Oreochromis niloticus: one gene and its partners. The protein of the gene in region 2 interacts with the protein of the main gene of each other region in a pairwise test. Links are inferred from orthologs where the notes say so. Each region holds a gene or a part of one and is shown on either strand. Other genes may lie near its edges.

Region 1 (9,880 bases), on a different chromosome or scaffold from region 2:
GTGCATGCAGCACTTACTCTTACTGCGCTTACTGCACAGCAGCATGGTAATAAATGCAACACACAACTCATTTCAGTGTCAAAAGTCATAGAGATAGGACTAAGAAGGATTCGAATGAACTACACGTCTTGCATACAACTAAAGAAAATGCAGATATATACAGGACAGATAGATGATTTTTGTGGATAAAACGGAATAGAAAAAGATCTGGTGTTCAAGTCTAAATTACTTTTACCAGTAGAGGACACACAGTAAGTGATCCATTATGTGGCTATAATGAATTATTGAAACACTCAGATGAACCCTTGAATAGGGCTGTACCAGCAGAAAGTTTGCAATTTCCCCTCTGCACCAAGGACAGCGTTAGTCATCAATATAACCTTGGTCAACTATATAGATGATTTTGCTTTGAAATTTCACTTGTTTATTGCTATTACTGAGAAGGGACAGAAAACTGAAAAGAAATTACATATACATTATACTGAGAGTGTGCTTGGTAAAAGAATAGCCGTGTCAGAACGGTGACTTTTATTAAAAGGAAGAGTTTAACACTGTCAGAATAATGTTACTTCTTTCATTGGGTATTTAAGGAAAAATTAAAAAAAAATCCTTTCACATTTGTAGGTTTAATATGAAGCTACAATCAGGTGCCAAATAGCTTAGCTTAGTATAAAGATTTGAAAATGTGGAAATGGTTTGCTCTCCAGCTTCTAAAACTCACTAATTACCAGAATATGTTGTAGTTTAGGGTGGGTTGCATATGGGATATTTATATATAGTATTCCAGTATTTCTGCATAGCCAGTTTTACCAGTTTATGGCTATACTAGCTTACCAATGTAAGAATGGTATAGATCACTTATGTGATCTAACTCTTGGGGGAAGTGGAAATAACTAGAGATGCGCCAACTGACCAACAAGAGACCAGAATCAGCTGATTTCCAGTGTTCTTTGCCCAGACAGGTGACCGGCCAGTCAGCCTCATGTACATATATGGCTTATTATGGGCCAGACCACAATGGCATAGGCAAACAGTCATATGCTAGCATCTTAATGGGTGAAGACACAAACCTTGCCAAAATAAATCACCACAAAATGGAACAACAATTTTAATAAGACACTTAAATCCCCCTCACCAAGCTGAACATGGATATTTTAAAAAGGCAGCAAAGGCAAAATGGCTAAAGCTAAAGCTATCAGTATCAGGCTCGGTATGAGCAATGAAAGAGTAAGTGTAACTTACTGCAGTTTGGCAAAATTATTAAATCTTATCAATTCTTTACTAGTGAAAATAAAATTTTGCATTAAAGAAAAGTATGCTGTCTATTGCAGTTCTTCGAAAGAGAATCTCAAGAAGCCAAGGAAATTGCACTCTCTACAAATCTTTTAAAATATGACGACAAAATCTATTTAGCTCTAAACTCATGAGCACGTAAATAAGATTAAAAATATTTCTCAATGCCCCCAAATAATTATCTGATACCAAAGAAGAGCTGCCTATTGAACATCTTTAACTGTTGTTGCCTGATTCAACTTCACTGTTGACTCTGTTGTGCATTTTCAAACAGGATTCACTGCTGGTGTGTGTTTTTCCTCAGCTCAGCAGGGAAAGAAAAGCCCCCTTTGAAACAACACAGGCTTCATTACTTCATTCACTTCTTTCTCTGTACTATTTTTCAAAAGCGTCTCCATGGCTTTTAATGTTGTGATTCCAGTCACTTCTTTACAGTGTCACTTCTCTCAAACACATTTTAATTTACCGTTACCACCAATTGTTTTGGACTTGTTTTCTTATCTGACAAAAATAATTTACCGTGAAGACAATTTGCACATGGACACCGTATCCTTTCCTGCTTACCAAGCGCTTATATGAAATGCTTTACATGTGACATATTATATACACACTGATTCTCACTGATTTTAAAAGTACTTACCTGCCGCACACTGTATGTCAACAAAGTGAAGCCCTAAACGTTGACCCTGTAAAGAAAAACAAATTGAAAAAGGTCAGCGAGGGTGTCTTGATATTGACTCGACGCCACCATTACTACGAGAGATGAGCTATTCCACGCTGACAAAATGTAGTAGACTTTTAAATAAGTAATTAACGCCTCCCTTGTCTACCTCCTTCAAGGACTTATTAACTCTCACTTTGTGCTTTTGTTAAACCCTCCCATCGCCTCCTGTAGAGATACTGGTGAGCCAGCTAGGGAGCACTCCAGTGCCTGTGGTCTGTGCAAATGATAATTCTCTATGACATCCCGCTCAGCAGTGACTGCATCCTGTGGGCTAATGACACCAACTGAGCTGCAAAGGAACCACTTAATGATGACGGACACAGAGCACATTAGGGATAGCCAATAAGCGATCAGCACTGGGTGTCCCTGGGACCAAGGACTCAAGAGTATCCCAAACATGTTTAGATTACTTATTCTCATGGTGAATTGAGGGCGTTCAGCTGATCAGCAAACCATAGAAGCCAAGGTTCGAAGTGTGTAGACAAGAAGCCCCCCCCACCCCACCCCTTTTTATTTTGCTTTCACTTCTATCCAACCTTGTTTTACACAGACTGATCTCTAGTGTTATGACAGAGCCTATTTCCAGTCACAAACTTGCACCTCTCCCTTGTCTTGAACATTTCTCCGTGCTGCTTACAAGAGCCAGCAAAGATTTTTAAAGGGGACGTTTCATTGAAATTAAGTTTTAAATAATAGATATTAATATAATAAGAGCCACATCTAAAGACTATTCTCAACATCAAACAATCTGCTGATATTTTTCTCAAATGTTCAATCAATATTTTTGCCATACGACAGCTTTGGGTGATATCTTTAACTACAGCCTGGCTTTCTAACAAGCAAAACCTCCCACTTCCTAAACAGCGGGTTGAGTAAAGCAGAAAATCCAGTTGTGGGAATCTGATGTTTGCTTGAAAAACCAAACGAAATGTCAGATTTTTTCCAAATAATTAAATTTTTTGAGCAACTGAATGACTCATCTTCAGCTCTTTGACAACAACCACTCGTTTCACAAGCAGCAATAAACCACTCTGTGCAATAGTCAAAAACCAGCTTCAGTGCTTATAAACACCATCACATGTCTTTGGAGCTGGCACAGCACGGTAGTTTGGATAAAGTTAGACCAATTATATATCATAATTGTGATTCTAAATAGAGAGAAAAAAAAGCTTTGGGGGCATTTTTAGAGCAGATATGTCAAAGAGGCACGACTGCCCTTTGGCGAAATGGTTAAAAAAACATTTGTTATGCAGTGGAAGACCCAGCAGAGACATGTCAGCAAAATATCACAATGGTTCATTGTAAATATTCCCCCTATGAGGTAACTGCTGAAATTCATGAGTATGCAACAAGGGTTGCACACTGGCAGTTCGTGTTCACAGACGTGTAATCGGAGCCTGTAAGCAGATGACAGTTTAACGGTTAAGTTGATTATTTGATGGAAGTTTTTAATAATTCATGCCAAAATAAATTCAGCACATTCAGATCACAGTCGGTGCGATCACTGTTTCACCGGTCCCGATCAATGGGATTTCTAGCTAGTGCCATGTATTCATTTCCCCATAAACAATCACAGGCTCGTAATAATTTGGATGTCAGATGCTTGCAGTGAAGTCAGACTGTGTAGTAATCATCACAGGCCTGGAAAGGTGCATTTTACTGTAACCGCACCTTCAGCTCCAAGGTAATGACAACATCCTTTGACGCGAGTCAACATAAGGACTCGGTTACTGCAGTATCTCTCCGCCGCTGATATCATTCACTTCTCCCTTTCTACGAGCCTTAATTCTAACGCCGAGCAGCACCGCAACACTTAAAAATCACTTCTGAAGCGACGGCAGAGCATCAACGCAGCCATGTTGCTGATTTAACCGCCTATTTACCTTATTTCCGCAGTGGGGAATGTGTGTCGTGATGTCCATACATTTATTTTTTATTTTTTTTAATTTGTATTTTTTTGGTTAACAAACAATGACAATTCTGCATTTCTTCAAATCCTACTGGTGTCTCCACAGCCAAGTAAGATACATGGCGGGGAATTGGCCTTTACCGGAGGAAAATCGCGCAGGTTGTGTTTAGAGCATCATCATCATCGGTGGCAGCAGCAGCAGCATCAGATAGGGAGGATGTAAGTGGCTATGGGCGAATAAGGGGGATATTTCCTCCGTGCTGGACAGCCCCACTTCTCACCTTTAATAAATCCACGCGTTTCCCCCGATGTTAAAGCTGTCCGGGCGATGAGAAACAGCTCGGACCATCCATCGTCGTTTTTCAAGCCCCTCTCCCGTCTCATCCGACTTCAGTCTTCGCAACTGCGGTTGTAGCCGCACACAGAAACGTAGAGGCGCCCCGCTCCACTCGGCATCGTCAGCGACCCAGCGGCAGAGGACAGTAGATACAAGCAGGCACGGAGATGCCATGCGCGACCACCTACTAGTACACTTTACGCATGTGCGCACGCACGCTGGTTAAAGGCGCACTACTATTATTAATACCGCTGTTACTCTGAATTATAATCCCCAATATTATACACTGAACAGGAAAAAGCACAGTATTCATTTAGGCTCATTTAAAGGGATACTGCAGCAGTTTGGGACTTTCATCAAGAGGGGAAAGAAAGAGATGTGATGTTTCTAAAAGACCGGAAAAGTATCATGACTTTCTAGTTGTCTGGAGCACCAAGCTCCATAACTCCTGGGCTCTACATTTCCCATAATGCAGCTCAACAGCGTCATACGACAGCGTTACTGTTCTTTATTCAACAACTGGACTCTTCTGGATAATATACGGACCCCAAATGTTTTTAAATATTAAATTAAATATAGTTTATTTTTTGAAGCTATTTAATGAAAATAATACCCTCGCCCCCTCCCCAACTGTGACCTCGTATAAAACCATGTATCCCTCCTAAGGGCAGAGATCTTTAGGAGACACCCCACCACATTTCTTTTTTACATTTTTCTAAGACAGTCAGGGATAACTCAGTTACAGTAATCAGGGTTTTTATGTCAAACTTTGGAGCAACAGAATTTTTTGTCAGACTGGCCCACAGAGGGGTCGTAATATTATTGTGCTTTTTAAAAAATATATATATAATTATAAATAGTACCAAAGAAAAAAAATACAATAAAATGAAGAAGCAGTCAAAAAAAAGAAACTTTTTCCATTATTATTTATTCATAATATTCTATTACTTTGATAAAATACACTTTGTTTACAAGTTCTGATTACTATATTACATTCACCTGGAGTTTTAAATGGAGACAAAATGACACTGACATTAAAGAAATTCACCTAGTGTCAAACATGACATTAAAAGAAGAAGGGGAAAAAAAGTGGCAATCCCCCCCCCCTCCTTTCCCACCCCCCACTTCTTCAAGCCATTTTCTATATGATGTGCTCTACTCTTCCAAATGCACACACACAGTTAGCCTTAGTATTGATTGGGACTGCTGTTGGACTCATGTTTCAGTCATCATTAACAAAAATTTCAGCTGCCTTTAGGGTTGAGAATGATTGTTCTTAATATTTTTTTGCAGTGCAATCCAGTCCAGCAGGACTCTAACATCACATTCAACCAAATATGACGTAAATAATTAATGGGGGTCAAAAATGAGAATAAAAAAACACATCTGTATCACTAACTCAAACATCACTATGTCATTAATAAGTGAAATTTCTATGCCTTGTGAAAATCCTGCTAGATTCTAGCCCTCAAAAACAACTTTCCACAAGACACAACCACCAAATAAAAATAAAACTATATTAATTGAATGACTTTTTAAATGGTGCATTAAAACATTATCTTTTCATAAAGTGATGATGCAAATAGACAAGTAAAAGCTACACTTTAGACAACATCTTCATCGAAAAATATAGACCAATGGATTCACTAAAAAACCTGGACCATACAGAATATCAGATACCTGGACTATTTGAAAAGTGATTATTCTGCACGGTGGACTGTCCAGCCTAAAAAAAAAAAAAAGACAGCCAATATATTAATATAGTAAATACCCTGTTGATTTGTCAAAAACAATTAGCAAATAGATCTTTTATATTAAAATATATTAATTAAAATATATTACTTTGATTAACTAGTCAGACATTTAAAAACAACTTCTGATTATTTTTTGTTTTCTTTAAGGTGACTTTGGCATACTACCTTGGAAATAATTGCTATAAAAGAGGTCATGTTTTGTACCTCCAGGAGATTCTAAAATATAGTAGATGTGTCAATATTTGTAACCAGCAAAAACACAAAACGTTTGGAGATAACACTTCAAACACAGTGGCCTTTTTACAAGTCAGTACGCACTAAGCACTAATGTTAAAATCATCATAACGGGCCTGCAAAGGTTATAACAAGTGCTGACACCACAAATGTGTTGTGCATCACAAAGACAAATTACTGTTGATTAAATACATATGTGACAAATATCATTTTTACAATACTTCCAACCACAGTATTATAGAGGATCACTCTCTTAATTTCCTGGAAAAAGGCCGCGTTAAAGTGAAGTGTTACACTCACTTATTGATGTATTGGTGACATATTGTACCTGTTTTTAGCATATTTCACTGTTCTTCTCTATTTTCATTCCACAGTAAAAAAAGAAAAAAAAGAAAAACATTTTGAAATAAAGAGCCAGTTATGCTCAAGCAAGGTGTGCAGCACGAATAAAATAACAATATTTCTACATCTAGGCAAATACCATACATGAGCAAGTATATACAGCAAAATAACAAAATTGTCAGCATTTTCTCCCCCCCGCCTTGAGTGTTTAAATTAAGTTTGCCACGGCTGATTTATCTATACAGACACACAAGCATTAGAAATCCCACACCAAGGGAGATCATATCCACAAACCTGATTTTTGGGGAGGAAATGCTGATTCATGCAGTAGGAAGTGACTTCAGACCTTCACTGGAAGTGAAAAGATCTTAATTTACCAACAAGGATTATAGAGGAATTATATATGATTCTCTTTTCTTTAGGTTTGATTTTAAGTGCTGTACACCGTTATTACTTTATATCCAGGTGGTTTTCAAGTGCTTTGCCTTGGAAACAAGTCAGGTTGATTTATATAAAGTATCATTCAAAAATCACACTATATCTTCTTACTAAAACTATACATGTTCATTTCTAGTTCTTAAATCTGAGTGTGTTCAGTAATAAAAGTACAGTTTCATATAAAATAGTTACTGTAAGTTGCACTTCCCTGCCACACGTGCATAAATGCCAAATAGGAGGTACTCTACATCAAATGATTATCATTAGCGCCCTTTTTCTTTTTTTTTTCTTTTTTTTTGCCGTTAAACCATAAATGATTAGGACCAATAATAAAAAGTGTCAGTCTAAAGCACAACAGTCATTATGTTCTAAAAAAATAGCAACATTCATTTTCCCTCCTCAAAAAAAAAGGAAAAAAAAAAACAAAAAACTAGACGCATATATATATTTAAAAAAATATATCACACTAATCTAGCCAAGTGCAAACACTGCCAGTTTTCATTTCTCACATATCTGACAACATTTGATTGAAAATGGATTGGCATTTCTATGACACAATTGCACAAAACAACTTTTCTTAGATGTTAGTGGAAAAACAAGACCATCCAGTGTAAATCCTTGCCTTTCCCACAACGAACCGATGCTAGAGCCGTTTTCTCCAAAGCGTGACTTAACACGTTTCAGGCTATTATGCACTGATTCTAAAACACTTGCTTCTGCTTTGTGCTGTGACAATACAACTCTAACCATTCTTTTGTTACTGTTAATTTAATATCATCGTACCACTAAACACGAGACACACAGTTTTGAGGGGCCTATGCAGTCATCATGGCAAAAAGCGCCACACCCCTTGCACATGATCATTGCCTTCAGTCGGCAGTAGCATTTAGACTGGACGTCCTCCATGTTGGAGCCCTCAATGAATGACTGTTCAGGTGAGGGCTCGCCCTGGTTGCCGTGGTCTAATGAGTGACCAGCAGGTATGGTGGTGACAGTCACTGAGAAGGACATAACGCTCCCGTGGATGCCACCACCATCAGCTTCTGATGAGGATGTGGAAGAGCCGGTGCCTGCAGTGCTGCGGTTCAAAGTGTGAGGTACGGACATACTGATAGTGCCACCGTAGCATGATGCTACCGGGGGTTCCTGATTATCGAGTGTTCTCTGGGATTGAAAGGCAGTCGGCCGCTGGTGACTGGGATCCACGTGGGTAAGATATGGCTCGGAGTTTCCTTGATTACTATTGAGTTCGAGGTGCCTTCGGTGTGACTGAGAAAAAGGGCTGGTGTCTTTGGTGGTTGCGCTGGTGTTGTTGTTATCACCACCAGCTTCAATATACTCTGATCCAGGCTCCGTCTTTATGTTATAGTGATGCTGAAAGCCCGCTGGTTCATTAGACTTGCTTACTGAGCATCTTTGCTGCTCTGTTTTGACCCCAGAAGGAAACAGAAAAACTTTCCTGGCTGGTTGGTCCTCCTTGGCTGCATCCTCTGCTTCTGTGGTTTCCCTTTTTGTGCTGGTTACAGACGTGTTTGGAATGGCAGACAGGTGAAGTCTCCTGCTCTCTGATCCTCTGCCATACGTGGAGACATTGAGCAGGTAATGTCCTGTCATGGCAGGCCTTGGCATCCTCCTTCGACCCAAAAAACCAACAGAAATCCTCGATCGATCTTGTCGCTCTTCTGCGTGCATCAGTTGCTGAACTTTGTACTGAGGTGACTGAGGCCCTACACCCCCTCCATAAGGTTGACTTTGTTGGACTTTCCTCTGCATTAGAGCCTGTAGGATCTGCTCCTGAGTCTCCTTGTCAGGAAGTTCCCTGTGATGTTTTGTGTTTTCTGAGAAAACACCAGCTCGGCCTGATGTATTGAACTTCTCAGCCCTGTGCTCAGCAGAATGTGATGCCTTTCCCATACTACCAGAGGAGAAGTTTGACATCTTTACTTCCACCTTGGATAGCGGTTTTGGGAGGATCTGCTCCAGTGGAACTTCTTTGCCCTGCAGAAGCTGAGTGACCAGCGGGTTGTTTGCAGGGATGCAGGAGCTGGTTCTGGTTGTTGATCCAGCAGTTAATGGGATTTCCTGTTCCTTTGAAGCATGCACCGATGATGGTTGTGCTGATACACTTGAACTCTTTTGGACGCTATGGATTCCTGTACTGACAGTACCAGCAGAAAGACTTGTATGTTTTTCTTCAGTTTTGCTTAAGTACTTCTGAGACTGGTTTGGGCTACATGGACCAAAAGAGTCCACTTGGCAAGGAGAAGATATACTAAACTGTGTGGCTGGTAACCTAGCAGATCCCTGTGGGGATGTCGGGCTGGATAAGTGGTGTGTCTGCTCACTACTGCCTCCACCTGGCCCTGGGCCTGGCACCGCCCCCTTTGAAGCAGATGATGATGCTGCTGCTGCTGCACGTTGTGCTCGGGCAAGCTGAGCTTTGGCTTTGATATCTGCCAAAGTGCGAGCACCAGTACGGCATGGGCTACTAAGTGGGCTTGGGAGGGGAGTCCTTGGTGAGATCTGGCTAGGTGACACGGGCAAGGGAAGAATTCGTGATACTGGGATCTGCAAAATGGAAAAAAAAAACCCCAGAGATTAATTCCCATTTGTATATCTAAAAAATATAAATTAAAAAAACATATAACAATATAAATAGGCTTCAAGCTGTATCCTATTTTAATTTCCTCACATGTACAAAACAACAAACTCTGGGATTTACTGGGAAAACTCTAAGTCTTTGGAGCATATTGAGACTAACAATATACTGAGGCAAGTATAGTTGCCCAACTCTAAAAAGATAAAGCTACAGACCTGTCAGGTCCGCTCAGAAAATAGAGTGATCTGAG
Region 2 (9,832 bases):
CGCGCTCCATCTCGAGATTTCCTCCATACTATGCCCGTCAGTTACATAAAACAATATGTTTCGTGCGTGTGTGTGAGTGTGAGTGGAATATTTCTCCGGTTTCGGTATCAAACGCGCAGATCTTCACTCTTATCTCCTGCTTCGCACAGTCTGTGTGCTTTGCGCATTCACGACGCCAAGGTCAGGAGCGCCAACGGTTTTAATGGAGCGCCCACCATAGAGATCTCTCTACGGCGCCCACTGCCAGCGCGTTACTAGGCAACCACCGGGATACGCCGGTGCATTAAATTCACCATCCAAAAAACCCGACTGAATCCCAATTTAGAAACCATTAACTAAGCACCTTAACCTCGGACTGCACTCATGGGCGCACACGTTTCGTGCAGAGGTAAAACCCATCTACGACTGACCAAATCAAAAAGTAAAGTGAGCAGGCCTGCACGGAGAGAGAGAGAGAGAGAGAGAGAGAGATCAGACACATTTGCATTGGCAAAAGCCTTTTTAGCAAATTGTGACAACAACGGCAAAATAGAAAATTTTGCAAACCACCCTCCAGTGTTATCCCATGCTTTGCAGCACATGTTAGACCTGATCACCCCTCGTAGCAGAGTCATTAAAAAAATCTTATTCGTACTAGATCTACACTTTTTAAACAATCAGACTGAATATGCAAAAAACAAACAAACCCCCCCCCCAAAAAAGAAAAAAAGACCCACTATAGTTAAATGCTGTGAGTCAAAATGACCACAGGTGCTAGGAAACTAGTCTATGACAGGTAAGGTGGAAAAATATATCTTCCAAAAAACCCAGATCATTCCAGTAATTGTTTTTTGTTTTTCTCTAGCTTGCTGACTTTCTGTTTAAGCACCTGTATGTGGGGAATTGGGCTTATGCTTTTGTTGCATTCAGTGGTTAAACTAAATCTAAAAATATGAACATCACACTAGAATCTGTCCCAACGATACAGATGAGTTATGAGGCAAAGTCTGGGCAGTTGCTGACAGGGCAGACATATTCCCCCACATATCCTTTTTTTTTTTTTTTTTTTTTTTAATAATGCCCAGTGGTCACAGCTATGATGCACAGCTGAGGGATCATTTCTAGACTTCTTGGAGAGAGATGCTGCCCAGTGTAGTGTGCTTCAAGCTGGGTTGCAAATGAAAGCTTTTTAAAGAAATGAAAATATTTTGCATATATGTTGGTTCCCATGCAGGGAACAATACCTGTTTATTACAACGAGTTTCAAATTCATCTGACCACATGAGCAGAGTACTATTGGTTATCAAAGGACAAAAACATTGTAAATCTAACAGTCGCCATTTATTCAATTTTAGCGTTATTTGCCTAACTCAGTCAAAAAAAGCCAGAAATAAATCTACCAGGTCATTTCTTAGTGACCTCTCTAGCCTGAAGTCATCCTACAGCTGGCCTGATAGACCCACATCTTCTTTTTAATCAGTGTTGCCTGACCCTGTGGTTCCAGGTCTGGGTCACACACTCATCTGTCAGCTCCTGCGTAAGATTTGTAAGGCTGCCAGATGGGTTAGGAATGGTCCTGCTTAAGTTGCTTTCAGAAAAGGCAGAGAAATGCTGACCTGACAGTATCTGTATGTACACAGCTGGCAATGCCCTTGTGGTAAGAAAAACAGGTCACTGTCACTGAAGCAGACAGACACATCCACCTGGGAGGGTAAAAGTATGAAATGCCCTGACTAATGAGGAACCAGTTTTTCACAAATGGAGATCTGAGCATTTTAACCAAAAATTTGGGTCGGTCAGTTTAAAATCTAAAATACTGGGAAAATTATAGACCAGTATGGGATTCATGTGACACTCTGATATAATAAAAACAAACATGGTTATCTGAATGATCCATATGAACAACGGCTGAATTCAAACTGAAGAGCGAGGGCTCTAATCAGAAAAGCAAGTCTGCAGAGGTTGGAGAGTTGGCTCAGTGCTGTGGTTGAAATGGGGTTCTCTGTAGGTTCTGCTTGTTCTACAGTTTACCTAACAGAACTGAAGAGTGAACAAAAAGCAGACCTCTTCACCATTGCTTCAAGAGCCCTGCTAGAGCCAAACAAGGAACATTTTAGTCTGGACCCAGATCAATTTGCTGCCTGCCTTTATCAAAATGTCCTTTATAGCTTTCATGTACTACGTGTTTGATGCTCTGCAGGTGGTCAATGCTCACCTTGATTATAGAAACAAAGCTTACATACTAATTCTCTCTCTCCCTTTTGCTTTTTGATAAAGGTGAGTATTGTCTTTCTTTTTTGATTCCCTTTGCCCTTCTCAATCCATCTTCCCCTCTGCGATGTTCCTCAGGACCTATGCTGCAGTGCCCGCCTTGTGGTAAGAAGATACAATATCGGCATGTCCAAACAATGCACATCACTCCTGCTGGACTCCCCTATCCACCCCTTCACCACATTAAGGATATTATACAAGATGAACACTATCATGTTGTACTGACATTCCCTGTCTTTCTCGGTGATGTACCATATCATCTTGCATTTATTTGTGATCATTTATGGAAATGAATCAACCTAAAAGGTCTCTGTGTTGCTCAAAAATGCCATAAATAGATGATATAAAACTTTAATGAACCCCAGGGGGAAAGTGGGTCATAGCAGCAACAGAAAACAGGATATACTGTAGGAAACAGCAAATACAAATGTTTGCTGCAGACACCCGGGGAAAATAATACAACGGGATACGTGAAATATGCTGGTTATCATGACTGTTAGATAGATAATATTAGACAGGATTTTATCTGGAGGTGGCCACATGTGTACAGTTTGTGGATTTAAATCACAAATGTTGTGTGTGCAAAATGTGCATCACTGGAGGAAAGTAACTCATGAGTAATCTACAAAAATTTGCAAGTGCTTCATCTGAATTATATAAGGATACTAATGATTTTACAGTTGTGGGTAAAATATTTATAGACGCCCCTCAACCCCCAAAAATTCTGTTACGTAACCAAATGATCACCAATTGCTATTCAGACCTGCACTTATGAACCTGCTCAGAGTGCCCTTTTCTGCAAGGCCGGCTATATTATGCAGAAATGATGTGGCTGTCAGACACCCCTGGGTGTTCTTGAGGTGAGGGAGTCCCAGGCAAAGAAGGAATGTTGTAATTTTAGGTTATCACCTCATTAAGTGCATTTACATGAGACCCTTTACCACTAATTATCTAAATGATATCCCTTTACATCTAGATAATGCCTGAATATAAATGGCTCACGTAACCACCTCCAAAAGAATGGAATGACACAGACTAATGATTTATTTAACTTATAAATATTTCTCCTATAATAAATATGATAATGTGTGTTTCTTATTGTTGAAACTTGTGGTTTCTGCACAAAGGGACAGGAAAGCTCATATATCATATTGTTTTCATAATTTTTACATTTACTATGTTTTTCTAACTAGTGTCTGTTTTCATCTAAATAAAATATTTTCGAATTTAAATTTGCCCAGAAGGACAGTTAATTTAGTCCTCAGTGCCCCCTCTTCTCAACATATGCTACCCATCACAGAATACCTTCTGTGCTCCACCCACAGATGGTGCTATCATTTCAGGATTACGCCCTGAATTTGGTCTATCAGGAGAGCTCTTCCAGTAGACGCTGCAAACGCTGCACTGAAACGCATACAAACAGGCGGCAATGCAGGGTTACGATTTAGGGGATATTTAAAGGCAGTTTACGTGAAATAAGAACTCCTGCGAGACTATAATTAGGGAAATGAAAACCCAAATACATTTTTACGCTCCTTCCAATTTCCCATGATGCACTTTGGCGTTTCAGTATGTAACAGTTATGCTTAAATAAACCATTTAATTTGTTGAATTTCATATGCATAGATATATGATACATCGAAACTTTAACATGTGGGTTATTTGAACGGAAAATAACGACTGATACGACCAAAAATTGCCCAAACCGAGAGCTCTGAATGTTGCTGTTGTACCCGTAACTAAGGCAACGGTGAAGAATGACGTGACTCGCGGGAGAACAAACGCTAAACGCACCACAGCAGTCGTGTACTGTTTCCTTCCTGTGTGGTGGCAATAGTTATTCAACATGGAGAGACAAACTTTAGGGAAGGAGAGGCTGATAGTGCCCACTGATTTCACCTCACCAGCACTTCCGAGTAAGTTGCTCCTAAATTCTTGTAAAGGTTGAGCTAAATAAACTGTTAATTAGCAAATGTTAGCTTACAGTGCAGCCCACTTGGCGCTTACATTAACTCATGTTTAACAAGTAAAAGTGATTTTATTCTTCAGGAAGCTGCCATGTTTATCTTTAGTGAACTTAGCATAACAAAGGCTTGTTTGCGAACATGGGGAACCTTATATTGGATTAGAGTAGCTAATGCATGCAAACACATAGACACTGTTTTATTTTATGAAGGGGAGACTCCGGAGGACCTCATACCGCCATCGCATTTTGCATCAAGTGCCCATTCTGCTGGAACAAACAGATGTGTTCAAATGCCGGCGACACAGCCACCCATCTCCTGGATAAACCAAGGCATGATATCAGTACCATCATCAGGGGAACCAAGTCCTGCCAATCCATGGCTTGCCATCAATCAGGCCCAACAGGAAATCTTGGAGCTGAGGAAGGAAAATCAGAGGATCTTGATGCTACAAGGAGACAGCATAAGGACCCCTGATTATCGTTCAGATTGTAGAGCCAGGTATATCCACTACATGTTTTATATGGTCTGTCACTTGGGTGGCAATATGGACATATTAATGTGGTCTCTTTCCTTTTATGCAGATCAAAAGACAGAGGAGATAATTGGTCTCGATGGGAATCAGAGTGGCGACTGGAGGCAGAAAAGCACAAGGCTGAAGCAGAGAGGTTAAAGGGGCAGGTGGAGGCACTAAAGGAGATTGCAGAAAGATGCAGGGAAGAGGTCAGAGACAAAGACAACACCCTTAGCAGGTAAGAGATGTGCTTGTGTCATTATGTGACATCTCCGCACATTTAGTATGTAACCTCACATTATGGAGGTCAGCAAATAATGGTTTTGAACAAGCTTAACTTGGAATAACCTTTGCACAACAGACACAGCCATGAGATGGAAGCAATACATACGGATCTATCCAAGGCTAAGTCTGAACTCAGCCAAATCAGAGAGGAGCTCAGTTTCTGCAGCGCACAGAAGGAAAAAATAAGCTCACAGGTAATGATGTTTACTGACAAAACATTTCATTTCGACACTCTTGTAGACATACATCACCTGAGAGTTACTGGCATTTTCTAACTTATTTTGGCAGTTTGCAGTTAAATTTGTTTTTGTACAGTTTTGTGATCCCAATAAAACCTTTTAGTCACCTTTAATTTAACACGTTTCACAATAATAAGGTTAATAAAGTCTGCTTTTTCTGTTTGTAATATGTCTGTTTTTTCTCACAGCTTGAAAGACTGAAAGCAGAGTCTGATGAGGAAATTACAAGGCTGAGGAGAGATGCTGAAAGGAGCAAAGAAGAATCCCGGGAGCTTGCTTTGAAGGTTGAAATGGGCAGGTTGCAGGCTGAAGAGGAAGCCAAACAACAGACTCTCAGACTATTAGAGCAACTAGAGGAATTTCAGAACAACAAGGAGGTGGAGGTGTGTTTAACTGATCATAAACATTGTACTTGGGTGACCTCCTTTAGGATTAAGGGCCTTAATGCAACAACCACTAAGTATCTCTAAGCAGAACTCTGAGCAGTTCCTTTCACTCTGACTTTGCAAGTAATGCGAGAATGTGTAATTGAAGATGAATAAGTCATTATGTCCCTATTTGTCTGTGTCTTAAACTTTCCTAATTTTCAGCTGCAACAGTTGAATGCATCCCATCATGCAGAGTTGGATGCAGCACAAAAAACAAATGGTGAACTACAGGACCGACTTCAGTCAGTGACCTCAGAACTGCTGCAGCTAAAGAACACTCTGATGGAAGTATCTACTGAGAGAAATGGACTAAAAGAACATTTAAGGTGCTTCATTCAATCTAAATCGGAACAGAACTAAAGCATTTAAAGCACTCTGTAGTCACTGTTTTGTGTGTGTGTGGTGGGGGGCATGTTGTTGTTTATTTTTCAGCCAAATGGGACAAGCTTTTGAGACACAGTCTGCTACATTGCAAAGCCTCAGAAATTACATCGGCCAGCTTGCACCAGAGAAAGGAGAGAGGGAACGATTAAATGAAGCTGTTGAGGTAGAGGCAATATAAACAGTATTGATCGTAATGAGCATACTGCAAAGTAACTGCATGGGACTTTCAAATGTTCTTTTCACTAGGGTAAAGGAAGAACAGTAAAATATGAATGAGTTAATGTACAAATTATATAATTAACTCTAATTGTGTGTAATTTAATCTTGTCCATTTTGCAGAGGCTGAACAAAGAGAAAGCTGCTCTTCAGACAACTGCAGAGCTTTTGACAGTCAGGCTTAACTCTGTGAATGAGATACTCGCCCTCCAAGAAGAGAAAATGGTGAAAAAGGTGAGTGGTTTTTTTCTTTCTTTCTAAATTTACATAGCAAAACATGATACAAAACTGTGTTTAAAACATCTGGTGATCAGCAGCAGTCCAATGTGAAACCAGCAGATGCCTATGATTTTGTGTTTTCTCTAAGGATGTTTGCGGACCACGTAAGGTAAGAAATGTCAAACTGAATATACATCACAGACCACATTGAGTAAGCTGGACTAGTGAAACACACCTTTCTTTCTGTGTATATACATTTAACTACACATGTAATATCTGAGATATCCTAATGAGAAGAAAGGGCCATTTTTGTACATAATAAAGAAATGCTGCTGTAGTAGATTAAAGAAATCTGTTAGCACAACTCTTTGGGTTTAAATTGAAAGAAATAAAAGTGTAAAATTACAGAGAATTACACTTTTTTATCGGTCTTAAGTTAACTCACTTGGGTGCTCACTTCACATATGCGTATACTGAGTAGCGCTGCAGGAGACTGAGATATGATAACAGTTGGTAGAGATAGGTAATTATAGTAAACCGCTTAGTTTGTTTTTGGAGGCTACGTCCTCTGTGATGCTCTGTTATTACACAGTACTTTGGAAAGGTTTAGCCTAGTTTAGATGTTGAGATTCTTACGTGTCATGGAATATCATCTGGAAGGGGTTTGGTCAGTCCCAGATTATTTACCTTGCTGTATGTGACAGCAGCTTCAAACATGCAGTCAGATTCCTATATCATGATTGGCACGACCTCCTAAAAGAGATGGTATGGTATGGCCTGGCCTGGCCCTTACGGAGCCATTTCTCAACATCACCGAGTCAGTCTGGCATTATATGAAGAGACATGAGCAACTGAAAGAGCCTAGATCCACAGAAGGTCTTCAGTACACAAATGCATTTAGAAAATTGGTGCTGTTTTGGATGCAAATTATTATTATTTTTCATTGGGCTCTTTGTAAAGTTGACTGATATAAAAACTACTATATTGTCCATTGATAAACATTGTCAGTTTACCTTTAGTACCCAGATCCTTTGTGCAGTATTACATTGTGGGAAAGAGAGAAGAAAACTCCTCATTTCAAGATGTAGTGCTTTAGAAAACATCAAGGCTAATTTGAAAACAATTATGCATGCTCATGTGGTGTGTGCACTGAAGTGTATGTGTGTATTTGTGTCTCCCATATGTGTGTGTTTCCACAGACATCGATGGATCCACTTGTGAAGAAAGGATCCGAAGGCCTTCAAGTGCTTCAGCTGTGGAGAGAGAAAGTGTTCAAGTTGTGTGTCCAGCTTCGCTCAAAGGACATCGAGATAAGAGGAGAAAAGGAAAAACTGATTTCAAAAGTATGAAAACGGCTATTATTTTCCTATACCACACAGTACAGGTAATTCCAGCGTATTTAAAACTGTGTTCAATGTGGGACTGCAATGATGTGTGTTTTAGGTCAGATTTGCAGAGCAGCAGCTGCAGCAGGAGCAGCACAGAGCTAGCGTGCTCCAACACAGCCTACATGACAGGATCGCTGAGCTGGACCTCGAGAGGGTGGAAAAGGATGTTAGTACCAGGGCAACTGATGTGATTTACATGGCTGTCTGAAATTCTGATGATGCGTAATAAACTTCGGTCTGCCTAGGAAAGTGATAAATGCTCGTACATTTTTTACCACAGCAGATGATGCTGACTGCACCAAAACTTTGGTTCCCAGAGCCATTGAGGTTTAAAGGACAGCACCTGGGGAAAGACAATCTTAAAAACTAAGCACCGCATTAAAAACAGTAAAACAGATCTGTGAAAGATGCTCTGTTATATGTGGGAATGTTTTTCTTTCCAGGCACTGAAACAGGATTTGGCCAGTGTTCACAAGGAAAATGTTCAGTTGAAGTTACAGAGCCAGAAAGCAGAGGCTGAACTTAAAACCTTGACAGAGGCAGTGCAGAGGTAAAAAAATAAATAAATAGCAAAACTGAATTTGAGAGGATAAGGAAAGATGAGGAGACGTATTAGAAAAATAGAAATAGAATTCAAGACAGACATATATTGGCTGTGCCTTACAGATTCTGTCAGGCGTTTGAAAGCAAGGTGGCAGAAGTGGAGGCAGCTAAAGCAAGGCTCAACACTTTTACCCAGAGGCTGACATTTGCTAAAAGACGAGTGGAGACAGTCCAAGGTACAGATGTGTGTGTATATATATATGCTGATGGGTTAACAGCATAGCTAGAAGAACATAAAGAATTTATATCTGGTTTTGTTTTGCAGCTTTGGTCATGAGGAAGGCAGCCCTGCAGAAAGTTGAAAAGGCCTGTAAACAGCCAGATAAGGATGCTGAAAGGTACAGTTTATTTATTTATTTTTCAATGTGGGTGATTCTCTCTTTCACTTTCTTTCTGGATCATAGACATACACAAAATCATATCTGACTGAGGTCACGTGTCTTTTCACTAGGCTCTCCTCATTCTAGGCCAAGAGATAGCCTTTATAAGCGTCTTGTTCTTCCACTCACTTGCTCTTTTGGCTTTCGCATAAAAAGCTCATGTTCTACTATGGCAGCATGTTCTTGCGTTAGTAGACATAGTTGACATGAGATGCTGCTTTCATATGTGGTGAGATGCATGAACAATAAAGGAAATAAAATAAGTGCATGGAGGGAAGGGTTCGGAGTTTTGATTGTATGCTGGTATAGCGTGGCATACTGCATAATGATTTTATGGGACATATATAACAGGAGTCGCTAATGTGGTTGAAATAAGTGTTGTGAATAGCAGGTGTTGCTGTCTTATGCTGTCAGTGTATCTATACAAGATGATTATAATTCATGCAAAAAGTAACTTTCAGGCTGTTTAGCTTACTTTGTTATGCATCATGCAGAGCCTTCTCTACTTCTGCTTGTCTGTTTGCTGTACCATTTTATCTTTGTTGCCCTGCAGCATCAGAAACCTCCAGATAGAGCACAGTTTGGTGTGCGAAGAGAGAGACAGACTCACTAGAGAGCTCAAAAGAACCCCAGTGCTTATCGAGAACGCTCTCGCTGATCTGAAAGAGCAATGTGAGACCCCATACGGATCACAACACCCATTATAGTACATCGTCTGTTTGTCTGGTACATATCCACATTTCTGTAATGCATGTGTCTCTGCGCACTTTTTACCCTTCACAGATGAGAGTAAAGTTAGGCTACAGCAGCAGGAGCTGGAGCAGAGCTGGGTGGAGCTCGAGCAGGCTGTAGCCGGTAGAGAGGAGGCTGAGCAGAACCTGCAGCAGATCCAGGCCCAGCTGCAGGACACTAAGGTCACCCTGGAGAGAGTCCGCTGTGAGCTGCTCAGCCAGCAAGAGCAG
Region 3 (10,909 bases), on a different chromosome or scaffold from region 2:
GAGATTTAATACAGTGTCTGTGAAACTGCGAAAACAATAATACAGCATTTGGAAATAATATTATGTTTAGTTTTATATGTTCCCATTTCTCACCGCTAGATGGCACCACATAAACAGACCTTCACCGTCAGGGGTGCGAAACAGTCCACACAGGAAATATAAATAGGCCTCTTGGTACGTAACATCTTCCACTGCGATGATGAGCCAGGATGTGATTTAGCTTTCGGTCCCCTGTTGGTGGGTTTTGATTCAAGATAAGAATTAAGAGAAAATAAAGTATAAAAATCCCCATCATTGACCTCGTTTCAAATATTTGAATAAAAGCGTCACTGGCATTGATGAAAGTTTCTCCACGTGCATGTTACGTTGCAATCACGTCTCCTTTTGTTACAGCATTTCTAAATCTGTTAGAAAACATCAACTACTGCTTTTTTAGGGGCTTTTGAATATTAATATTTGCTACTGTACTGCCGTTTTGTTTGCATTTGGACCACACTGTGTAATCAAATACCTGTTAACTCTCAAATCTATAGTGAGGCAGTGAGGCGTGCCCCTTGTAATTACCCAAAATCTCTCTTAGTTTCTTAGCTGAACCAGAGTGCATGCGTGCTAAGAAAAAAACAGACAAAGCAATGGCAAACAACAGCAATCTCGAAGGAAGGTGATAATTATTACTGTGGGAGCTTAAGCGCAGAGAGGCTGACCATGAAGAGTAAAGTCGTCCTGAAGTGCATGAGACTGCACGCATTTCCTACAAACATCGGTTAAAACTTCCATTTTTACCAGGAGTGGGGTTCGAACCCACGAGGACTATTGTCCATTGGATCTTAAGTCCAACGCCTTAACCACTCGGCCATCCTGGTGAGTGCGTGTGCACAATCAGCGCATGGCACACATCAGATAAAGCCGTGTGACTCCAGCACGCACAGCTACCAGAGGCGTGACGCCACAGTTCAAATAAACGCGCTCTTGTCGGTAAATGCCCCCAGTAGAAACCGCACAGCACTGCTGAGGAAGTGCAATCATTGCAACCCATGAAACTCATTTCAACACAGAGCAGAGGCAGTTAAGTCTGAAAACTCCCACAGGTACACAGCAGTACCTTTGGCAGTCTGAGTCACAACACCCTCAGTTTACCAGCTGATGACTGGGATTCCCCCAGTGAGGGATGGGCTGGCCCAGAGGCACAGGGAAATAAGGGTTTTTGAATTTTACTGCCATCACAAAGGGCAGTGAGATAGGCCTCCTGTGCAAACAGAAAGTCCTCTGACCTGTTTAGTTTGCCATTCTGTTCTGTTTCTCCTGTAACATTACCTGTGCAAACACCGCATTAAGTCAGGCAAACTGCCCTGTTAAAGAGATTTCACTGGCTTTGGTGAGGTTGGTTGTGTGGCAGTGGTAAACAAAATCATTGACTCTCTAAAGTGGAGCTGACACACAAATATTTTTGTGTTTTTTTTATGTGAAGCAACACGTGGAGGAAAAGCACAGCCTTGGCTTGTAGCTGGGGGTGGCTAACATATAGTTGCACAATCCTCACAAATCTAACTTGCCTCCCCAGCTAACCACAATTGCTGGTTGAGCTGTGATCAGTGTTTCTACACACTTGTGAAGCAATGGTTGCAATAAGAAACACGTCTATAGCAAGTACCAGTTCCGAGCTTAGCTGTAGATGTACATTCAAGTTGTCCAAATATAGCCACTCCAAGGCATTTATTTATAAATAAAATCATACTATATGGGCTTAAATATTGCATGCCGCATTCCAAACTGTACAAAGCTAAAAGCTAAACAAAGCTGCAAGCCACATGAAATAATAATTTAGATGTTTTTACAGCAGTCGTGTATGCATAAGCTGTTCTCAGTAGCAATCAGGAAATGTAACTACCATTATCGCACTGTATATATTTGCATATGTGCATGTGGTTTGAATCACTCTGACTAGTTGGTATCAACTCAGTAAAGAAAATGATACCAGAATGTGATATCTGGACACATCTAGAGCAGCAAAAAGCTTTCATGTAAGCATTCAGAAACATTTGCAGGAAAGCGGATTTGAATCAAACGTTCTGGTAGGGTGCGGGAACTGGTGGCGCCTCATTTACAGCACGGGAAACAACAACAAAACAGCTTCTTGCATGGATTGCTTTCCTTGTATATTTTAGCCTGCTTGATGTGCGCTGAAGCTTTGGCTACATAGTCCTGTGTTGCCCCTACATTTGCTTCTATGTTGTCGAGCATGCAACCCTGCTGCTCCACCAGCATCGCCATCTGGAAAAAAAGCTCGTGAATGTCCCTAATGCGGCCCTCCAGCTCCAGCAGCTCCTTGTGCCTGTTCTCAATCTCGTTGAGAGCAGATCTGGCAGTCCTCCCTTCCAGTAGGAGATTATCCGAGAAGACATTCCACTTGCCCGTCTCAATCATCTCGTCTATCTGCTCCCTGGTTACCTCCTTGCCCATGATCTCTGCTTGCCTCTGGATGCGGGTTTTGCAATTCTCCCTTTGCGCCATTTCAGCCTCATTGTATTCAGACATGGCACTGTGGAAGGCGCTGGTCAAAGACACATACTGCGAGCGCACCATGCGAGCCAAAGCTGATGTGACACCATGGGCTTCCTCCAGCTCCTTGCTCAGCTTCCCCATTTTTTCCAGCTTTTTATAAATGGACTCCCCTCTGGCCTTGATGTCTCGTCCCAGTGCGTTGGAGTCCCGCTTGATGCTGCTGATCCTCCTGACTGATGTGAGGAACCTGGTGTTCTGCTTCCCCAGACGTTTCACATCCATTCTGAGCAACTGGATCTCCTTCCTCATCACTTGGGCATCCTTGTAGATGCCATCCATCATGTCCTCACCCTCAAACACGATGGCGTGTTGCTCCAGAGGCTTCTCATCCTCACCGGTGAGTCTCTCGTTCTCCGTGGGCTTGTACTCCTGCTCTGCAGGCGTGAAGGCCTGGAGCTCAGTCAGTCGGTCCTTCATCTTACCTGCAAGAGTCACAGACATTTATTCACCTTTCTAATGGAATTGTGGGAAATGCATTCTTTACTCTGAAGAACTACATTAAAAAAAACTGATATCAAAAATTCTCATAGCACAACTTTATTTTGCTGGCTTTGCTCCTCGTCATCTTATTTCCTGTCACATGTATACTGTTCATATTAAACAAAGCAAAAGTTTCAAATAGTGATATTAGTACATGTAAGAAAACAACCAGGCTTTGGACTGTTGTTTCTACTCTCAGCTCTATATGACGTCACTTTGTACATATATCCTTAACATAGTCATCTCAGGCACACAGGTCTCTGGCCTTGAGCACAGAAGCCCCACCCATCTGTATTCAAGCCTTTTATTTTCAGCTAATCAGAAGAAAATTGGGGTAAAGGTCGGCGGCCATAAGGAGAGAGGACTTAAAATGGCTTATCTGACAGGTTTATTCTGAAATGTGAATCACACAAAGCTACACAAGTTAAGTCCCAGATTTATTTATTTATTTTTAATGTATGGAAAATCTCCAGTCACTTACTGAATGAAACTGGATATTGAATAGCAAATAAGATGGGTCACATAAATGTGACCAGCATGAGTATTAATCTACTGTTCTTTGGTAATTTCCTTTCAATATTGCACTGAATCCTCCTGTTAACAGAGAGAGGAAGGGGCTGGTATGACACTGAGTTCTTCTTTTGATATGTTATTATTAATATTAAGGCACTAATGTTAAGTCTCACTTTTAGATAACGATAACAGTTTTTGATGTGCTATGCAAGGTGGCTGTAGGTCAGTGAAAAGTCCTCAAAAGCATTGGCGAGTTACTTCCTCAGCTGTGTGACTCACATCATCATCAGATAGAAGTTATTTTAAAAGTTCCTGTCCTTCATTCGCGGTTATTTCCTGCTAAACGAATCAATTCCTGAGGTGTACTGTGATGTAGATAATGTTAAAAATCCTCACTAAAATGAAAAAACCACATCAGAGAAGCGCAAAGCATCCTCTCCCGTGATAAGGTGAGATCGGGAGGAAACAGAATAGCTCGAAAGCAATTTTTTGATATAGAAATCGACCTATATGACACAATACACCAATGTATCGATTACTGAGCCTATATCTACATAGAGAGTACAACAGAAGGTGCACACAGCCTACCTTTTTGTGTCCTCCACCGATATTAGAGAATTAAAGTCCCAAAAGCAGAAGGGGCGAGTACGGAAAGAGTCATTTCCTCTTTTTGTCTCGGTTATAAATGCAAATTTCAACAGTCAACTTAGAATTTTAAGGAGGTCTTGCATCACGTCCTATACATTACAAGTGACACGCTGACATTACACTGCCCATATAGCCTGCAGCGGGTATTAATGCGGAAGATAACGCCTTTTCCCCTTTACACATTTCACTGCTTCTCGGGTTTGATTCCAGGAAGGAGGTGTAGGTCAGTCACAGTCATTTTATATGGTGTGTTTTTATGTCAAAGCGTGCGCATTTGGCATTTGCGCAATAAAGGTTTTGTGTTCTAAAAACGTTTTAGACTTATGAGTCGACCACGAATCTCAGTCATTTTCATTTTAGTTTAAACTCTTCGCTGTGAAGATAGAAAAGAATACAAGAAGGACAAAAAAAGAAATTCAGCTTACTATACTAATATAAAAACGCGAATAGAAGTTCAACATTAACCTTGAAAACGGGGGCAAAGCCTCAACATAAAACACATTTAGTGTTCAGGAACAAGTGTTTGACACAAGTGGAAAGTGCAACCCCAATATTTTACATGTGGTTTTAATGATCAGGTCTAAAAATACAATGCTAAAAATATACATCGAGTATTAAAATTTACATTTCTGAGAGAAAGGGGAGGGGGGGGGGGAGTGTTACAACACTGTGAGTCTTGTAACCTGTAATAAGCAATTTTCTTTGGTAGTTGGGCAAGAAAAAGCCTTCATAACTGCCTTATATGTAGGGACAGAAGAAGTGCTATGGCCATTTGCTCCATTTAGTCAGCTGCAACAGTCCTGTGTTGAAAAATTGATAATGTATCAGAGTATTTAAAAAGCTGAAGTACTCGCAATGTAAAATTACAGATGATAAAGATCAAGTTGAAATGAAGAAGGGATACTCACGCAAGGTTTTTTTTAAATCATTATTTTACTTAAGGAGGACAAGTCACACAGACTTAGTATAGGCTGATATCCAGATTATTGACACTGTCCTTTGACTGGTATCATACAGTTACAGGAAGAAATCATTAATGGTTACAGGAGTCGTAGTCATACCAGCCTGTTAATGGCTAAACTTTTATACTTCTATCAATAAAGGCCACATTACACTTTCACATAAAATCACATAAAATCTAAATATACCTAAAATAACAATCTAAAATCACCTAACGTAAAGATTTAAGGTTAAATATTAACAGCTCTAGATTAGCAATTGCACTTTGCTTTTACAGATAAATGCCTTAAATAAATATTTCACTATACATCTATTTTTTAAGCACCTATCCAATTCAGGCTTGCAGGAAGTGGGGCCCTTCCCAGAGAAACGGAGAATCAGCACCTTGGTGGGTCTTGTTTTATGATGACCAGCCCAACTTGGCTTCATCACCATCAATGTTCAAACCTTTCTATTAGTGGCGCCATCTACTGTGCACCCATCTGTGGGTGTATCCTGGAAGTCAGTGTGATTCATTAAAAGTTTCACCATATTTTAGAATCAATAAAAGCTTCATAAGGCCTAATTGTGATAACATGGAAAGCAGCCGCAAAACATCTTCTTGAAAGGGTTGTTTTTATCAGATTTAGTGGCATTATCCAGATAGACCCTGCTTTCCAGAATGATCACATCAACATTTTGAACATTTTTCTGGATGTTTTCCACTCCTGTGCCCTGCTCCTCCATGAGGACAGCCACATCTAGGAACAGTTCCTGGATCCCCTCGATTCTTTTCTCCAGCTCCTGCAGCTCATGGTGCCGGCTCTCGATCTGCATGAGGGCAGACCGGGCAGATTTGCCTTGTATCTGGGTGCTGAACACAGTCAGTTCTTCACCCTCCATCATCTCCTCCAGCTCCTCCATGCTAACCTCCTTGCCCACTATCTCCATCTGTCTCTGGATCTGCTTTTTACAGGCTTCCCTGTGGTTCATCTCTGTGTCATTGTAGCTGAACATCACCTCCCGCAGAGCGTTGCTCAGGCAGTGGTACTGTGTTCGAGCAACGCGCACTGTGGGGTCCAAACTGCCGCGCTGGACCTCCAGTTCACCTCTGAGGTTATTTAGCATATGCAGCCTCTGCAACACAGCTTCTCCTCTGCGTTTAATATCTGCCCCGATTGCATTGGAGTCCCGTTTTATCACAATGGAGTCTGAAGTCTTATTCAAAGCCTGATAGTTCACGTCCTTCAGATCTCTGATGTCATTTTGGATCTGCTGGATTTCCAGACGTATCAGCTGGGCCTCCTTCAGGACATCATCCAGCTCATTATCTCCAGCTGTTGCATCATGATCTGATAGGTTATCTAGCTCCACTGTACTGAAACCCTCAGTGTCAGTCTGGACCTGATGCAGGTGTCCCAGTCTGTCTCTCATGGCTGGAAGGAAACAGAAAAAAAAGGTAGATTTACTCATCTGGGAGAAAAGGTTTATCCATGACTTGAAAAAAAAGCATCACAAACAATATATTTAGTGTTTAGCAACTTTTAGAGGCAATGAGCAACCTTATTCTTCATTTGTAATCATGTTTGAGGCCAGTCTTCAGCTTCTAAGGGAGGTATTTGGCTCTTTGCCTGCTAAAGTTGAAATTAAGCTATGTTGAACAGCTAGGTGTGTGTCTGTGTGTGTGTGAGCAGATTGCTTTTTCAGAAAAAAGCAATCTGCAGCAGTTCAAAATGATGACGATGGGAGAAGTGAGTGTCTTAAAGTGAAAAAAAAAAACCCTCACCATTACGAAGCTGAGGAGATTATTATCATCTGTGGGTTTGTGTGTACGTGCAATGCCTTTTTTAAATTACACATGTTGTGTTGATTAAAAATAAATATACAATAAGCTTTGCAGCTGCTTTTATTTTTTATTCTTTTTTTACAAAGTGAATGAATAAAAAATTTCAAACTGAAATTTAAGGAAATATTTACTCTTCAAACTTGGTTTAATTGATCACAACCAATTAAACCACTGAACTGCTGAACTGACTGACACTGCCTGACCTTTTTACCCCGAACAGGCCAAACTGTAACATCCCTGCTGAAGACATAAATGCTTCCTGTTGTACAAGCTAAGAAGAAAAATGCAATTTAAAAAAACAGAAAAACACCAAGAGAAAGCTGTTTCCCAGCTAATAACTGTAAAGCTTTTATTCTGTTAAGCTCATCTTACAAAATAAAACACAAAGGTTTTGTAATCAGTGCATAGCAGCGTGGCACATTTTCTACGTCTCCAGTATCGAGTAATCTTAGATGAATTCTCCTGATCCACTAGGACATGTAGTCTGTCAAAGACTTGCCAAACAAGTTCTCAAACAGAGGAGCTGTTGGATTTTTTTGTTAGTGCTAAAACTTTGAATTAAAGTGTTTTAAGCTTTGGTGACGGTTTAGGTCCCAAGCAGATCAGGTAAACGTGAGCCTCAAGGCTGAATGCAGCAGCCCAGGTTTTATTTGGACTTGAGGAACTTTAACACTCTCATTTCCTACTTTCCTGAAAAGCCCAACCCCCAAAAAACAAAAATAATAATAATATTTTAAGCTTAACTCAACAAAAAACAAGAGAAGACAAGCAAATCATGTTACTGATCACCGTCATACAAAGCAGACATGAACTCAGTCACAAGGAAGTCTGGTTGGATTTAAATGATTTTTACAATAGATAATACACATTTTACATATTTAAACATAATCTATTATTCTGAGCACTGAAAAAGTCTTATTTGGGATTTGAATACTTTCTGTAAACATTAACAGTGTAAAGTACATGGACATAGGTGTATGATTTTGCCAGTACTGGCCCTTTTCTTTGATGATGATGGTTCATCAAGAAAAATTCTCCCTTTCTATCAGATGCAGTTTAAACTCACTAACAGTTTAATGTCTTGTAGCAGGATGCTGTGCTGACAACATTTGCACTAAAAAGGCCCCCTGAGCAAACCTAAAGAATATAAAACCTATAACGCTATGATTATATAATTATTATATCTTACTTGTAGTGTTCTTAGTTAGCTGTAGATGAGTTTCAGACTTCCTTGTCCTCTGTAGTTAAAGGTGATCATGAAAACAGGAGTTCAGTCCAGTTAGCAGAGTGACGTCTGCTTTAAGAGCAAGTGATTTTTTAAAACTGTTAACCATCATCTCTGATAGACCTGCTTATGAGGAAAGGTTTTTAAAAACAAAACTTTCTGCATTCCTCTCGTGTCACGTGGAGACGTGAGGTGACGTACAGTAGGACAAAGCCATACTTGTCAGCGATTTAACATAAAGATGAAGCACCCCTGCTTACATTTCACCTCTATTATCATTACCTTTACTGCACTACTTTTAGCGTTCTCGGGTGTTGTTTTCTGTCAACAGAAATGGCAATGAAGGGGGTAAATGGCTGTGCTGAGGCCTTGACAAAGCACATATAAGATAACATCACGGATAGAGGTCACTGACTTTGGACACACAACATGTTAAAAAAAATAAAGAGGAAGTATTTGAGATAGCTTATCTTCCAGAGGGGTGGGACCAAAATGTTCTTATATGATAAAAACTCAAGTCTAAAAAAAAAGAAAAAGAAAAAGAAGAAGGCAAGAAAGACTGCCTTGTCTTCTTTATTTAATAATTCTACATCCTTTCCTGTTTCATGAAACACAATCTAAGTGTGAAGCCACCAACCATCAAGTGATTTTCAGTCATGCAGCCAGAAAAAGAAACTCAAGCTGGATAGATCATTCGGTGCATAGGCTGCATGTACATGAGCAGTAATTTCCATCAGCCTACTGAGTTTCTGAGTCACTGGGATGTTTCTCATGGGGGATTTTTTTTGAAGGCCAACGTGTGCCATATAGCTGTATAAGCATAACTGACACTTTACTCTTAACTCAAAAGCATAAATGAAACCATGTAAGGTTAAAAATTCCCCACTAAACCACAACCAGCAGTAGTGTTTCTCTTTCACGTTTCTGTTTTTAGCACATTTCTCACTCGCCTTGTTAAGACCTGGTGTCATGGGCTAATGGAGAGAGGAGACAAATGTAGTAGATAAAGAGAAACTGGGTGTTGACTAAAAAAAAGGAATAAAAAAAGGCTAAACAAAGGCCAAAAAGATGACTCTAACACAGCACAGGAAGGACAATTAAAGAAAGACAGGAGAAAGAGGAAGAGTGGACTATATATAGACTGTGGACTAACTGGGGAATAACAGACAGTAGAGGAAAAAGACACAGGTGAAACACAATCACAACCTCCTTTACTTCACAAAGGGGGAAGGAAATTTAAAAAGCAAACTGTTAAATTTAAGCAGAAGACAGCTGATACTACACACATTATACTCACACTAAACATGATAACAGAAAGGGTAGAAGAATATGGAGAGGAAACATATACAAGGGAATCACTGTGGGAACTAAAAAAAACCCAAAAGAAGAACTTCCAAAAACCACAAAGGAAACAGAACTCAAATTTTAAAAAGCTAAAGCTCAACATCATTAGAATGATAAAGACACAAAAACAGGAATCCAGAATTAAACCTTCACACAAAATCCTAGAAAATCCTTAAAGACTAAGAAACTTGGTTCATTTTTTTGTGGTCCATGACAAGAAACAAATTCAAACACATGCATTTGTTGGTCAATTCAAATCACAACAAAGCAAAAAAACCAAAGGATCGACCACTAGGTGGCAACAAAAATAAACCGTTCAGTCAGAAGATCTCAAATTAGAACCCGAACTTTGTTTTTCTAGTTTAACTGTCACCTACAGCTTTGAGTAAGGGAAATATTGACCACTTTATTTCATTTATCTCTATACAAGAGTGAAAGGGAAGTTTTACAAGATGCTAGTGAGACCTGCTGTGATTTATGGTTTGGAGACGGTGGCACCAACAAAAATTCTTCCATTCTTCTATTATGTGTTTTATTCTATTGTTAAGTGTCCTTGGGTGTCTTGAAAGGTGCTTTTAAATCAAATTTATTATTATGGAAATTTTTCTAAAATTGTATTCTTTATTGTAAGAATAACAGTCTCTTCAGCAGTCTTATGGAGACTCGGAGAGCCAGACTGCGGTCAAGTGAGCCCTCACTTGCGAAGTCACAGTCAAGCTAGCCGCCCCGCCAGCCGCACCTAAAATGTGGTTGCACTATTCTTACGCATATTACGGTATGGATGCCGACTGCCTTAGAAACGCAGTCTTTTGTGTCCTGACACTATTTAACTTCACAATCCACTCCGTTTTGGTTCATCTCCACTTTTCCCCTTGTGATCCACAGCCAAGATTACTCTACGAATCAGAGAAAATTAACAATAAAATTTATCCAATATACAGTACTGTACTGTTAATATCTTCATCTTTGACCTCAGATTACATATAAACTGTACGAGGTGACACAGATATTTCACTGGATTCTGACTCTAGGCCGTCTCCACTCTGCCCCCTGTCATCCACAGCCAAATTTACTGTACGGTTTTCCAGAAAATTGATAGTAAACTTTGCACAATTTACTCTACTGTACTCTACATATTCTCATCTTTGACCTCAGATTACAGGAAAACTGTAAGAGGTGCCGCAGATATCTCACTGGATTCTGACTCTAGGCCGTCTCCACTCTGCCCCCTGTCATCCACAGACAAATTTACTGTACGGTTTTCCAGAAAATTGATAGTAAACTTTGCACAATTTACTCTACTGTACTCTACATATTCTCATCTTTGACCTCAGATTACAGGAAAACTGTAC

What was found.
Region 1: the proteins of cchcr1 (region 2) and dtnbb interact in binary tests that used the Homo sapiens proteins (3 or more experiments, as listed by UniProt). The link is inferred for Oreochromis niloticus from reciprocal best matches to the Homo sapiens genes CCHCR1 and DTNB.
Region 3: the proteins of cchcr1 (region 2) and stx11a interact in binary tests that used the Homo sapiens proteins (3 or more experiments, as listed by UniProt). The link is inferred for Oreochromis niloticus from reciprocal best matches to the Homo sapiens genes CCHCR1 and STX11.

Annotation. Positions count from the first base shown.
Region 1 is NC_031983.2:18,630,827-18,640,706, forward strand, and holds the start of dtnbb (dystrobrevin, beta b), read right to left. Parts: upstream 4,427-9,880; 5' UTR 4,208-4,426; intron 1,980-4,207; 5' UTR 1,934-1,979; intron 1-1,933. Other genes in the region: putative Polycomb group protein ASXL2, read right to left, coding at 7,806-9,599.
Region 2 is NC_031975.2:10,912,519-10,922,350, reverse strand, and holds the start of cchcr1 (coiled-coil alpha-helical rod protein 1), read left to right. Parts: upstream 1-3,818; 5' UTR 3,819-4,096; coding exon 4,097-4,166; intron 4,167-4,426; coding exon 4,427-4,715; intron 4,716-4,798; coding exon 4,799-4,966; intron 4,967-5,089; coding exon 5,090-5,207; intron 5,208-5,440; coding exon 5,441-5,635; intron 5,636-5,842; coding exon 5,843-6,006; intron 6,007-6,112; coding exon 6,113-6,227; intron 6,228-6,403; coding exon 6,404-6,514; intron 6,515-6,647; coding exon 6,648-6,668; intron 6,669-7,698; coding exon 7,699-7,842; intron 7,843-7,942; coding exon 7,943-8,053; intron 8,054-8,330; coding exon 8,331-8,437; intron 8,438-8,553; coding exon 8,554-8,666; intron 8,667-8,755; coding exon 8,756-8,828; intron 8,829-9,423; coding exon 9,424-9,542; intron 9,543-9,653; coding exon 9,654-9,832. UniProt on the Homo sapiens protein: May be a regulator of keratinocyte proliferation or differentiation.
Region 3 is NC_031983.2:20,444,938-20,455,846, reverse strand, and holds the start of stx11a (syntaxin-11a), read right to left. Parts: upstream 4,427-10,909; 5' UTR 4,144-4,426; intron 2,985-4,143; 5' UTR 2,980-2,984; coding exon 2,098-2,979; 3' UTR 1-2,097. Other genes in the region: syntaxin-11-like, read right to left, coding at 5,725-6,576. UniProt on the Homo sapiens protein: SNARE that acts to regulate protein transport between late endosomes and the trans-Golgi network.